3 linked regions of the Oryctolagus cuniculus genome follow. The main gene of each other region encodes a partner of the protein of the gene in region 3 in a complex. Links are inferred from orthologs where the notes say so. Each region holds a gene or a part of one and is shown on either strand. Other genes may lie near its edges.

The links.
Region 1: the proteins of WNK4 (region 3) and KLHL2 are in contact, whole or in part, in a crystal structure (PDB 4CHB), measured with the Homo sapiens proteins. The link is inferred for Oryctolagus cuniculus from reciprocal best matches to the Homo sapiens genes WNK4 and KLHL2. Residues at the interface, in NP_115763.2 of Homo sapiens: Glu557, Pro558, Glu559, Glu560, Pro561, Glu562, Ala563, Asp564, Gln565; in NP_009177.3 of Homo sapiens: Arg345, Phe361, Gly363, Ser364, Leu365, Arg366, Thr392, Phe408, Gly410, Ser411, Thr412, Gly413, Ser438, Ser439, Tyr455, Ser487, His504, Arg534, Tyr583.
Region 2: the proteins of WNK4 (region 3) and KLHL3 are in contact, whole or in part, in a crystal structure (PDB 4CH9), measured with the Homo sapiens proteins. The link is inferred for Oryctolagus cuniculus from reciprocal best matches to the Homo sapiens genes WNK4 and KLHL3. Residues at the interface, in NP_115763.2 of Homo sapiens: Glu557, Pro558, Glu559, Glu560, Pro561, Glu562, Ala563, Asp564, Gln565; in NP_059111.2 of Homo sapiens: Arg339, Phe355, Gly357, Ser358, Leu359, Arg360, Thr386, Phe402, Gly404, Gly407, Ser432, Tyr449, Gly451, Ser481, His498, Arg528, Tyr577.

Annotation. Positions count from the first base shown.
Region 1 is NC_091439.1:131,632,270-131,636,409, forward strand, and holds the start of KLHL2 (kelch-like protein 2), read right to left. Parts: upstream 2,862-4,140; 5' UTR 2,661-2,861; coding exon 2,635-2,660; intron 1-2,634. UniProt on the Homo sapiens protein: Substrate-specific adapter of a BCR (BTB-CUL3-RBX1) E3 ubiquitin ligase complex that mediates the ubiquitination of target proteins, such as NPTXR, WNK1, WNK3 and WNK4, leading most often to their proteasomal degradation.
Region 2 is NC_091437.1:25,467,083-25,470,724, forward strand, and holds part of KLHL3 (kelch-like protein 3), read right to left. Parts: intron 1,848-3,642; coding exon 1,730-1,847; intron 1,322-1,729; coding exon 1,124-1,321; intron 1-1,123. UniProt on the Homo sapiens protein: Substrate-specific adapter of a BCR (BTB-CUL3-RBX1) E3 ubiquitin ligase complex that acts as a regulator of ion transport in the distal nephron.
Region 3 is NC_091448.1:20,122,712-20,126,353, reverse strand, and holds part of WNK4 (serine/threonine-protein kinase WNK4), read left to right. Parts: intron 1-220; coding exon 221-485; intron 486-672; coding exon 673-794; intron 795-1,012; coding exon 1,013-1,071; intron 1,072-1,169; coding exon 1,170-1,287; intron 1,288-1,521; coding exon 1,522-1,638; intron 1,639-3,642. UniProt on the Homo sapiens protein: Serine/threonine-protein kinase component of the WNK4-SPAK/OSR1 kinase cascade, which acts as a key regulator of ion transport in the distal nephron and blood pressure.

The sequences.
Region 1 (4,140 bases), on a different chromosome or scaffold from region 3:
AGCTTCCTGTTAATGCACACCTGGGAGGTGGCAGATGATGGCTGAGTCCCTGCCACTCCCGTGGGAGACTCAGACTGAATTCTGTACTCCTGGCTTCAGTGTGGCCCAGCCCCAGCTGCTGTGAGCATTTGGGGAATAAACCAACAGATGGAAGATCTCTCTCCATATTTCCATGTCTCCACGACTCTCCTCTTCAAGTAAAGACACCCCTCTTCAAGTAAAATTAAACCAGTGGATGGAAGATCTCTCAGGTGTGAGGACAATGTAAACTCGACTAGTTATTCACAGAGAAGTACCAAGCAAGTGCTCCAGCCCAGCGCCAGGCAGAGACAGCCATTCAACAGCTGCCGACCGAATGAATTCATCGACAGACATTCACACACACACGACCAGTCCTTGCTTTCAACCACACCACCCAAGACACTCTTAAGTCCAGGTCAAACATCTTGTTTTGCATTAAAGCTCCGACTAGACACCTATCCTTGTGAAAATCCGAGTTTTTCCCAATAACTTACACTGGCCTCAGTCTTGTTCCAATCACAACAGTGAAGCCCCTTCCCAAAGATGCTGCCTGTATTTCTCAAAGCCAGCACCCTCAACCAGGCAGGCAGGAAGTTCAAGGGCGTGGAGGCAACTACGTCAACAGGTGAAGGGGAAGTGGGGGGGCCTTCTGATCTATGGAAAGGTAAATAACACTACAACAAACTCTGGAATTAAGGCTACAATCAAATAAAACCTATTTACATCTATCACTAAATGGATGTGCAGAATTATAAAACAAATCTCCCCAACTTCAGCCACTCGTGAGCGAAGGAAGCGTTAGCAATTCTCTCACCCATGCTGGCACCCCGGGTTTGTCACGGTATCTCAGCCTCTCATTGTTCCAGCAGTACTGACGGGGTCTCAGCACCCAAGAACTGGGCTGGACACCAAAATCAGGATGGGCTGATCTGCCCTAGCTTCAGTCTGATCAGTATTTGCATACACACATCTATTGCATTTGTTTCTTGCTTCAGGTTAAACCACTCGCTATGCCTTTCCTCCCTCGCGCCAGAGCCTGCTTTGTCCACACCCTTCTTCTCACCTGCATTCGAAGACTCCCCGTTCCTCCCTGTAGTTCCTTGCACTACAGAAGTAAAAAGGGACTGCAGACAACTGCCCCAAAGGGGGTGGCCGGTGTACTACAGATGAGGTGCCCACATGTTATCTATGCCATGCCGGGCGTTGTCTAGAAATACAGAGAACACATCCAGCCATGAGCACTCCCGAGCGTGTGCACAATGCTGATGCTAACGACCCACCATCACGGTCCCTCCGACCTGCTGAAGGGGAGGACCAGACCACAGAGCCCTCAAAGGCACCGCAGTCAAGGAGCGGCTGAACCTCCGCTGCTTCCATCAGCAGAGGAGGGTCAGTGCAAGAGTCTAAGCATGGCCTCTCCAGATCCCCATGACCTGTTCCACTCGAGCTAGAAATTCTGTAACGTACTTTCAGAAACTGCAGTTCCGAATCCCATTAGTTCTCCTAAAAGAAACGACATCAAAAAATCTTTTCAGCCCAAATCGGATTTTCCATATTTTGGCTGGAACTCGGCCAAATAACCACAAGAGGCTGGTGCGGTATACAACTGGCATGGAGTGAGACTGGCCAAATCTAACTGAAAAAAACGGTAAGGCTCCATGAAACAGCTCTCAGAGAAAGGGACACTGTTCCTTAGAATGAGACTGCCGGCGGTTTGAAAAGTCAAGATTCAAAGGGCTCTTGTTCCTTCACAAAGGTGAAACTCAGGATAGCACATCAAAATGGAATTGCTCAAAAACTCCTGGGGATTGACGGCCACACTTCTACCAAGATGCTAAAAAAATTAATTAATTTAAAAAACCCTTGTACTGAATAATGCAACAATACCTCCCACATAATTCTTCAGCTGCTATTATTTCTAGAAAGTAATTCTGTTTGCAGCTAGCTGATCCTAACCGTGCTCAGGTACCAAGGAAATAGACACCTGTGCCTGGCAGGTCGCTACGATACTCATCCGCCCAAGGTGCCCAGGAACCAGAAAATGCTCTGATTTCTGGATACAATCGTCTGCAGCGCCAGGTAAGAGGTCACATGCCCTAAACGGCCGCGGCTCGTCCAGCGAGTGACGGACAAGCTCCCGGGATATCAATGTTGTCAGAAATTCGGGGGAAGCAGGCAAGCAAGCAAGCAAGCGAGCTCGCACTGATTCACCGAGACACCGGGCATCTGGTACTTTCCAGCTTCCTCCTTCCTAGGGACTCCGCGCATCCCACAGCCATCGCTCCGAAGGACGCAGGCAGCCCGTGCGTTCCGGGGAGGCAGCCACAGGACAGACGGCGGCCCCCGCGCACCGGCCCATCCCGAATCTTCCATCCGCCGGGGATCGGGAAGACACCCCCACACCACCACCACCACCACCACCAGCACCTTCCCGGGGCTCCTGGGCAGGGCGCTAAGTCCCCGCCCGGCCAGCGCGAGTTTCCGCCCGCGTCCACCTCCAGGCTGCGGGCACCGCGCCTCGTCACGCCCCGCATCTCCCACCTCCCGCGGGGCCCCCGGCGGCTCCGCAGCGGCGCGCGTGGCCGCAGCGGCACAGCCCGCCCGCTCACTCACGCGGCAGGCAGCGGCGGCGTCTCCATGGTGGCTCCTCGCGGGCTTCAGCACGCAGGCACCGACCGCCGCCGCCAGCACCATTCCAGCCGCGGACGCCGGCACGGCCCGCCCGCCGGGCTGCGTTCCATGCGCCCCGGAGGGGGGCGCCGCGCTCGCCTCACCGCGCGCCACCACCTGCGGCGGCGGCCCCCGCGGCCATGGCCCGCTCGGCCGGGCGCGCTCCGTCTGCCTGCGCGGCTCCCGCGCTCGCCCGAGTGCGGGGCGGACGCGCGGGCTCGGCCACTTCCGGGTTCGGCCCCGGCCGGCGCCGACGCCGTGACGGGCCGGCGATGCGGCCTCCCGCGGCGGCCGCGGACCCTCCCTCGGCGCCGCCCCTTCCTCCTGCGGCGGCGGCGGCTGCTCGCGGGGGCGGGCGTGCCCGGCGCGGGCCTCGGGGCGCGGGGGCTTTCTGGAAGAAGCGCGGCGTGAACGCTCGGGGCTCCCCCTGCGCTGCTTGCCGGGCGCGTTCCCCGGGTCCTCTGATGGTTTGCGCCTGTGCGGGGATGGGGGGGACAAGGGAGAGGCAGGCGCCCCCAGCCTCTGCCTGTACACGTGGTGAAACTGAGGCAAGCAGCCTGTGCAGCGGCTGTCGCCCGAAGCTGGGGGGGGGGGGGTCTCTCCTCGGCTTGGGAGCCGCTCCCTGGACAAGCGAAGTGAGCACCTCGGTAGGCAAGATCTGGGGACAGGGAGACAGAAAAGAGCAGAACCGAGTCTGGGCTTGTGGAGCTGTCCGCGTAGACGGGGCAAGAGGACCTGGAAACAGGGAAGAAAAATAAGAGGGAGCGGTCAAGGGAGGCCCCTCCAAAGCTCGGAGACAGAACAACGCGAGCCTTGAGTAAGGCCGAGAAAGCCGAGGGCAGAGGGCAGGGCTGCCTTGTTGAGGAACTGTTTTAGGAAGCTTGGTGGGCCCGGCGTGCCCGCTGGCATGGCAGCACCTGGGCACTGGGTGGGGACGCGAAATCTCCGGGCCCAGCTCAGACTCGTCAGGAACTCTGGAGGCGGGGCCCTGCTGATGTGTGCAATACGCAGCCCTCCCGTTTGAGACCCTCTGTTGTGGCCCAAGCTGGCTTGAGGGCAGAAGCAGCTGGAAGGAGCGCTTGGGGAGGGCCAGGGCACTCAAACCCATAGAGGCATGCTAGGCTGCAGTCAGGGATGGGCCTCTTGTGAGATGAGAAGCAATTGGAAAACTGTGAGCAGCTAGCCCGGGTCGTGAAAACGATGACTTCGTGGTCAGAGCCTCAGCCTGCAACAGGGGCAGCCCATATGGACATGGGTATCGGTTAGAGACCCAGCCGCTCCACTTCCAATCCAGCTCCTTGATAATGTGGCTGGGAAAGCAGAGGGTGACCCAAAGTGGGAGATCCCAGGAGACGCTCCTGGCTCCTGGCTTTGATCTGGCCCAGCCCCAGCAGTTGTGGCCATTTGGGGAGTGAATTAGCAGAAGAAAGATTTCTGTGTGTTTTCCCT
Region 2 (3,642 bases), on a different chromosome or scaffold from region 3:
AAAAAGAAACATACCAGGGGATTCCAATTCAATCCCATCAAGGTGGCATGTATCAATGCCATCTCACTAGTCCAAGTGATCAATTTCAGTTCACAATTGATCATAATGAAAGGACTAAGAGTCAAAGGGATCACATAAACAAGTCTAGTACCTGCTAATACTAACCGATAGAATAAATAAAGGGGAGAGCCATCCAACATGGGAAGCGAGATACACAGCAGACTCATAGAATGGCGGATGTCCTAAACAGCACTCTGGCCTCAGAATCAGCCCTAAAGGCATTCGGATCCGGCTGAAAAGCCCATGAGAGTAGTTCAGGCATGGAAAGCCAAGACACTCTGGCAAAAAAACAAAAACAAAAACAAAAACAAAACAAAAAAAAACACCCTAAATGAAAGATCTCTGTGAGTGAGATCCCAGTGGAAAGAACAGGTCTTCGAAGAAGGAGGTACCTTTCTCTGAAGGGAGGAGAGAACCGAGAGAACCTCCACTTTGACTATGACCTTGTCTAAACAAGATAAGAGTCGGAGAACTCAGAGGGCTTCCATAGCCTTGGAAACTCATGACTGGAGCATAGGGAGATTACTGATGCCATAAACAGGAGTGTCAATTTGTAAAGTCAACAACAGGAGTCACGGTGCACTTACTCCTCATGTAGGATCTCTGTCCTTAATGTGCTGTACATTGAGATTTAATGCTATAACGAGTACTCAAACAGTATTTTTCACTTTGTGTTTTTATGTGGGTGCAAACTGTTGAAATCTTTACTTAATGTATACTAAACTGATCTTTGGTATATATAGAAAATTGAAAATGAATCTTGATATGAATGGAAGGGGATAGACAGTGGGAAAGGGGAGGGTTGCAGGTGGGAGGGAAGTCATCGGGGAGGGGGGAGCCAATGTAGTCCATAAGCTGTACTTTGGAAATCTATATTCATTAAATAAAAGTTAAAAAAAAAAAAAAAAGAAAGAAATCAGTGTGTGGGCCTGGTTCTGGCCCCAAAAGAAGCTGGGCCGGTAGCTATAGACACGCACGGTTGCCCAAGAACTGAGGAACAAAACAGGGTTATGAGAAGGGTGTGTCCCAGGCTGGGAGGGGTGGGGACATGCCCTGGACTTACCAGTGCTGCCATCAAAGCCTCCCACGGCGTAGAGCAGGTCGTTGAGCACCGCTGCACCCAGTGTGCTCCGGCGTTCCTGCATGCTGGCAATGGACGTCCACTGGTCCTTCACGCCGTCATACACGTCCACCGTCCGTACCCGCAGCGAGCCGTTAAACCCGCCCACAGCATACACATGGCCAGCCATGAACACCACACCTGAGGCACAGGAAACTAAGGTATCAAGGTCAGGTCGAGACAGCTGGCCACTTAGGTCGATGGGTGACAGCAGGAGGAGCAAGGCGGGCACAGGAATAACTCACAGAGATAACCTCCAACTTCAGGTTTCTAGAAATCAAGATGGGACTCACTGGGTTGCTTTTTCCATTCGCTTTTGTACTTTTGTTTGATTCAAGCAAATATTTGAATTAGCTTACACCCCCAAGCGCGTAAGAGCTGATCTTAGAAAGGGCCACCCAACACAGTGCAGGTGGGGAAGGCAAGGGAAGGGTGCCTGAATCCCACAGAGGATCGAGGACCCCAGGGCCCCACAGGACTTCCCGGACTGGGTGGAGACCGGCCAGGAAAAGCAGCCTGCAGAACTGAACTGACGGCAGTGCGGCTCACCTGCTCTGCATCTCCGGGACGGAAGTTCAGCAATCTGATCCCACCGGTCCTCCTCGAAATCATAGCACTCCACACTACGGATTGCCTTGGGCGCCTGGCCACCAACCACAATCATGACCTCCAGAGAGACAAGTGGACGTTAGCTGCGTCTCCTCACATCTAGATTAGTGGGTAACCAACTCCCAGTACCTCCCACGCCCCCTTCCCAGGGCGTGTGGGTGATCTGCGAGGCTGGACCACAGAGCTACAGACATGGAGATGCCGCCCCTATCACCCACACGTGTGTGTATGCAAGAGCACTCTAACACGCATCTCCCCACGGGTACACGACCAGAAGGGCTGTGCTTCCTAAATGCCCCTCTCAGAGCGATGTTGGGGGTGGCGAAGCCCCTGGAGGCATCTTCTGTGGCCTCAGTAGCCTCAAAGACTGGGGAGGGGACTAAATTGTATCAAAACAAATGACTATATCTTAGAAAAAACATTCAATTCGGATGCATTTTTAGGATCAAATTATTAACCAAAAATATTTCTGAATGCTTACACTGCAGAAGGCACACGTTCACTGCATTATGGGAAAAAAAAATGTGGTGAAACACTGCTTTGTGGTGGGTACCATGAAATTTGTTTAACTGATGATGCTCTGAAAGATACCGCTAACAAATTCCCACAAATAAGGAACCACAAGGAGAGGGCTATCATTCACTCGTCGCCACAACTCTGTAGAGATGACCATCCCCACTGGCAGCTGAGGAGAGCTCACAGAACACCACAAAAGCCCTGGGTCACACAGCTGAGAGTACAGAACAGAGACTGAGACGCGAGTGCCCCTGATGCAAGGATGAGGCCAGTGCCACCCCAGCCGCTCCAGAGACAGGGTCTGTGCTGACAGCTTGCTGCACCTGTGTTTGCGTCAAAATGCAGGTCCCATTCTGGTAGTGGGTCATGAAATCCATGTAATGGGTTGCAACCAGCATACTTTTAATAGAACAGCACAGGAATGATCATGGAAGGATGTTATTTCATGAAATATCTCATCTGGTATTCCACACCTGTACCTTCCGGATAATAGTTCAAACATTTGTTACTGCAGAGTGTGGCCAAAGAAATAAAAGCCGCTGCTCTAGCTAGAGTAACGCATCTGCAATACTCAAGTGTGGTATCCTTGCTGTTGTGACTTTTGTCGTACGTCATTAATAAATAAAAATTATAGTGCCAATGCTAACTACAGTGTATACAGCTTTCTAAATTGATGCAGAGTTGCAGCTGTCCCCATAATGGTGTTACTCTCACTCACTGGCTTTCTTGAGCCGAGAGACGGGGGTGGACGCCATTGGCAGGTAATACCACCACAGGACTTGATCTTTACCTGTAGCTCCCATTATTTACCCGGTGAATCTGCAATTCAGCATGCATCGGAATCCCCTGAAAGCTTTGTAAAAACACAACGTGCTGGGCTCTGCCCCAGAGTTTCCGACTCAGCGAGTCAGGAGCAAAGCTGAGAATCTGCATTTTTCACAAATTCCCAGCTGAGGCTGCTGCTCTGCTCTAGGATTCACCGCTCTTCTAACCCAGGGTCTACTGAGCGCCATCAGCCGTGAGTACCATCAGCCGTGAGTGCCATCAGCCGTGAGTGCCATTAGCAGTTTGTGCCGTTATGAATGATGGTGCTTATTACTTCCCCACCTGTGTTTTGGGGAGAGGAGCACGATCTTCAACACCAGAGTGAGCCAGCAGTAGTTCACTCACCCCCCAGTGAACATCACCTACCAGATGGGGAGCAAAACCAGAGCTGTTGTCAGACCACTGCTCAAGGTCAAGCCCTGATGCCTGGGTTCCAGACTCAAGCTCACCACCGCCCTCGTGAGGCCATCAGCTTTAGTTCACAGCTGTCTGTGGCCAATATCCAAGACCCA
Region 3 (3,642 bases):
ACGCCCCCTCGCCCCGTTAGAACCGCTGACTTCCTCTGCAACCATGAGCTAGTCACCTTTACTCATCTCCCCCACCCCAGGGTGATGGTAATGTTAGCAGCTGCCAGTTAGCAGACACAGTGGGTAATCAGTAAGTGGTTCCTTCCCTCCCATATCCTGGAGGCCTCCAGAAGCGGGAGCGGGGCGTCCTAACCTGTGTTCCTCACCCTCCCCGCTCCAGGTGGCGCTGGGCTTGGTCTGTGAGGCTGATTACCAACCAGTGGCCCGGGCTGTGCGTGAACGGGTTGCTGCCATCCAGCGAAAGCGTGAGAAGCTGCGCAAAGCTCGAGAGTTGCAGGCCCTCCCGCCCGAGCCCGGACCTCCGCCAGCAACGGTTCCCATGGCTCCTGGGGCTCCCAGCGCCTTCCCCCCTGAGCCCGAGGAGCCAGAGGCAGACCAGCACCAGCCCTTCCTCTTCCGCCACGCCAGCTACTCATCCACCACCTGTAAGTCCTGCCTGAGCTGGGGTCGTGGAACCCTGGGCCTTGGCCCTCCCCCACCCGGCAGTCCCACCCTGCAGCACTGTCCCTTACGTTCCTTCCGCCTCCAGCCCACGGCTGCCTCCCTGCTCGGTCAGCCCCTCCTTTCCCACCACTCCTTTTGATATTTTTTGACCCCTCCATCCCCCACCAGCGGATTGCGAGACTGATGGCTACCTCAGCTCCTCTGGCTTCCTGGATGCCTCAGATCCTGCCCTGCAGCCCCCTGGGGGGGTGCCCTCCAGCCCTGCTGAGACCCGGCTCTGCCTGCCCTCGGTGAGGGGGGGTCATGGGAGGGGCTCGCAGCCATCCCAAACCTAGGACCTATCCCTTCATTGTGAAACCCAGCCCTGTGTCCCTAGAAATCTACCACCCTAGTCCTCACCTGCTCCCATTCTGTCTCCCTAGTGTCTCCCCAAGCACCTTTGATACCACCTCCCTGGACCCCAACAGTTATCTGCCCTTGACCTTGTGAACCTTTTATCCTATTTCAGGCATTCGCTGTGTCCATCCCATGTTCTGGCCCTGGCAGTGACTTTTCACCTGGGGACAGGTATGTTCTGGTATGAGCTGGGTGCCAGGTGGAACATCCGGGGTTCTGAGGTCCCAGGGCCCACCTGATGCTCCTTCCATCTCCTGTCTCTCCCCCAGCTACGCATCAGATGCGGCATCAGGCCTGAGTGATGTGGGAGAAGGGACGGGACGGGTGAGAAGGCCTCCGGGGAGGAACCTCCGGCGCAGACCCCGATCCCGGCTGCGCGTCACCAGTGTAAGGAAGCGGCACGGGAGATGGAGAGTAACCCACGGGGCCGGGAGGGGCCGCCCAGCGGAGTGGAGATCAGCCAGAAAGGGGGCTGGCAGTGTGCCTGGCACCCACGGGGCAGCCATTCTACTACCATTTCTACTACCGGACTTGGAGGGTGGAGTGCCTGGAAGTGGCGCTGGGTTGGCGGAGGCAGGTGAGGGCGGAGGGCTTGACCGCCTCCCTCTGCTGACCCTGAAGGTCTCCGACCAGAATGACAGAGTGGTCGAGTGCCAGCTGCAGACCCACAACAGCAAGATGGTGACCTTCCGGTTTGATCTGGATGGGGACAGCCCGGAAGAGATCGCAGCTGCCATGGTGAGGGGGAGCAAGATGAGGACAGAGTGGACCTGGGGCAGGAGCTTCCTTCCTGTCCGCTGCCACCACCGCCTCGGATCCCACAGCAGGGTTTTGTCTTGCTTATTAATTAATTTTTTCTGTGAGGGCAACTAGCAAGTAGAATGGTGATTTCTTCAAAAAGAAAAATATTGGTTTATTTATTTGAAAGGTAGAATAAGAGAGAGAGAGAGAGATCTTCCATCTGCTGGTTCGCTGCCCAGGGCTGGGCCAGGCAGAAACCAGGAGCCAGGAACTCCGTTCTGGTCTCCCACATGAGTGGCAGGGGCCCAAGTAGGGCATTGTCAGCTGTCTTCCCCGGGTGCATTAATAGGAAGCTGGATGGGAAGTGGACTAGCCAGGACTTGAACCTGTACTCTGATATGAGAAACCGGCATCCCAAGCAGCAACTTAGCTACAATGCTGGCCCCGTGGCAGGGGTTCTTGAAGCACTGGCCGGCACTCCCAGCGGTGACCCCAGAGACCCCTCAATCTCCGTGTGGGAGATTTCTGAGGTTTGGCTCCTTGGAAGTTGCTGGAACAATTTGACACTAACATGGCACACAAGTGCTGCGCGTGGAAGTGGGTGCTAGGTGGGAGATACTGTGGCTCTGGGTCAAGGATGGGCCGTGGGCAGCCACGGGAAGAGGTGGGACTTAGCCAGGCTGGGCAGAAAGGGAAGGAAGACAGTGAAGGTAGAAAAGGCATGGCTGGCTGCAGGCACACTGTAGGCAGAGGCGTTCCAAGTCGTGAGTGACCTGGGGTACGGGGCTGGGAGGACCTCATGAGAACCCCACCATCAGAGGGGAGTAGGGATCCCAAGGAGAGCCACGGAAGGTGAGGGTGGGGCCGGCGGAGGGGCCCAGCTTATCCACGATCACGGGAGTTAAAGTGGGACACAGTGAGAGCAGGCTTTGTGACGACCATTTTGCCCTGGATGTGGGTAGGGGTTGGGGGCAGAGGACTCAACCGGGTACCAGACATAAGCAATCTGATATGGATGAAGGTGACGGTAGATGACGGGGCAGGGGAGGAGGAATGGCTCTGAGGGTTGTTTCAGGAAAGCCCATTGTTCTGTAACCCAGTAACCTGTTGAGGTGGTGCAGTGCGCCTAGTAGGTGCTCAATAAATATTTGCTGAGTTGATGTGATAGGGAGAGGGGGTGTCAAGGGCAGCTTGTCACTTGGAGGTGCTAAGGGGAGTAGGCTGCCCAAGGACAGGGGAAGTTGGAGATGAGGGGCTTCTTTAGGGTCTTGGCCAGCACAAGGTCCTCCAAGGTGCTGGGATGGGTGTAGGTCAGGCAGGGCTGGAGAGGTGGAAGCAGGAGTTGTCAGTACCGAGCTGAGAGTGAAGGGAGATGGCCTGAGGATGTCTCTCCGCAGATGCCGCCTGTTCTGAGTCGGGGCTGGGGAGGAAGGCCCTGGAAGGACCCAGGGATGGAGGAGAGAGGCAGCGGATGTTGGTGTGGGTAGAAACCGAATGAGAAGGGAGTTTCAAGGAGGTGGCATGGGAGGAAGCCCGAGGCAGGACCACAGCGGCACTGGTTTCGAGAAGGCTTTTGTGGGAGGCCAGCTTCCGCCGAGTGGGGGCGGTGGCTTCCAGCCCCAGGGGAGTGAAGGGGCGGGAACAGGAGAAATGTCAGGCTCCAGGAACGCTCCCTAAAGCATCCTCTCCGTGCTGCCTGGCACGCACGGCCTAGCACCGGCCCTCGAGTCACCGTCCTTGCAGGCTCCCCTCTGGCCTCACTGGCTTCTGAATGATCCTCGGAATCTTCTCGCCTCTGCCTCTGTCTGCTCAGGGGTCTCGCCCTGAGAACTGGTTCTGCTGGACCCCCAGACCACTCACTCCGACTCCATCCGGCCCAGGCAGCCTCCCCTCCAGCCCAGGGTCCATTCCTCTCTTTTCTCTTCCTGCCAGTCCGCCTTCCACTCCTTGACAGCAGAAGTCCCCTGAGACTTGGATCTGATCTTGCTGATTTTCACTGCA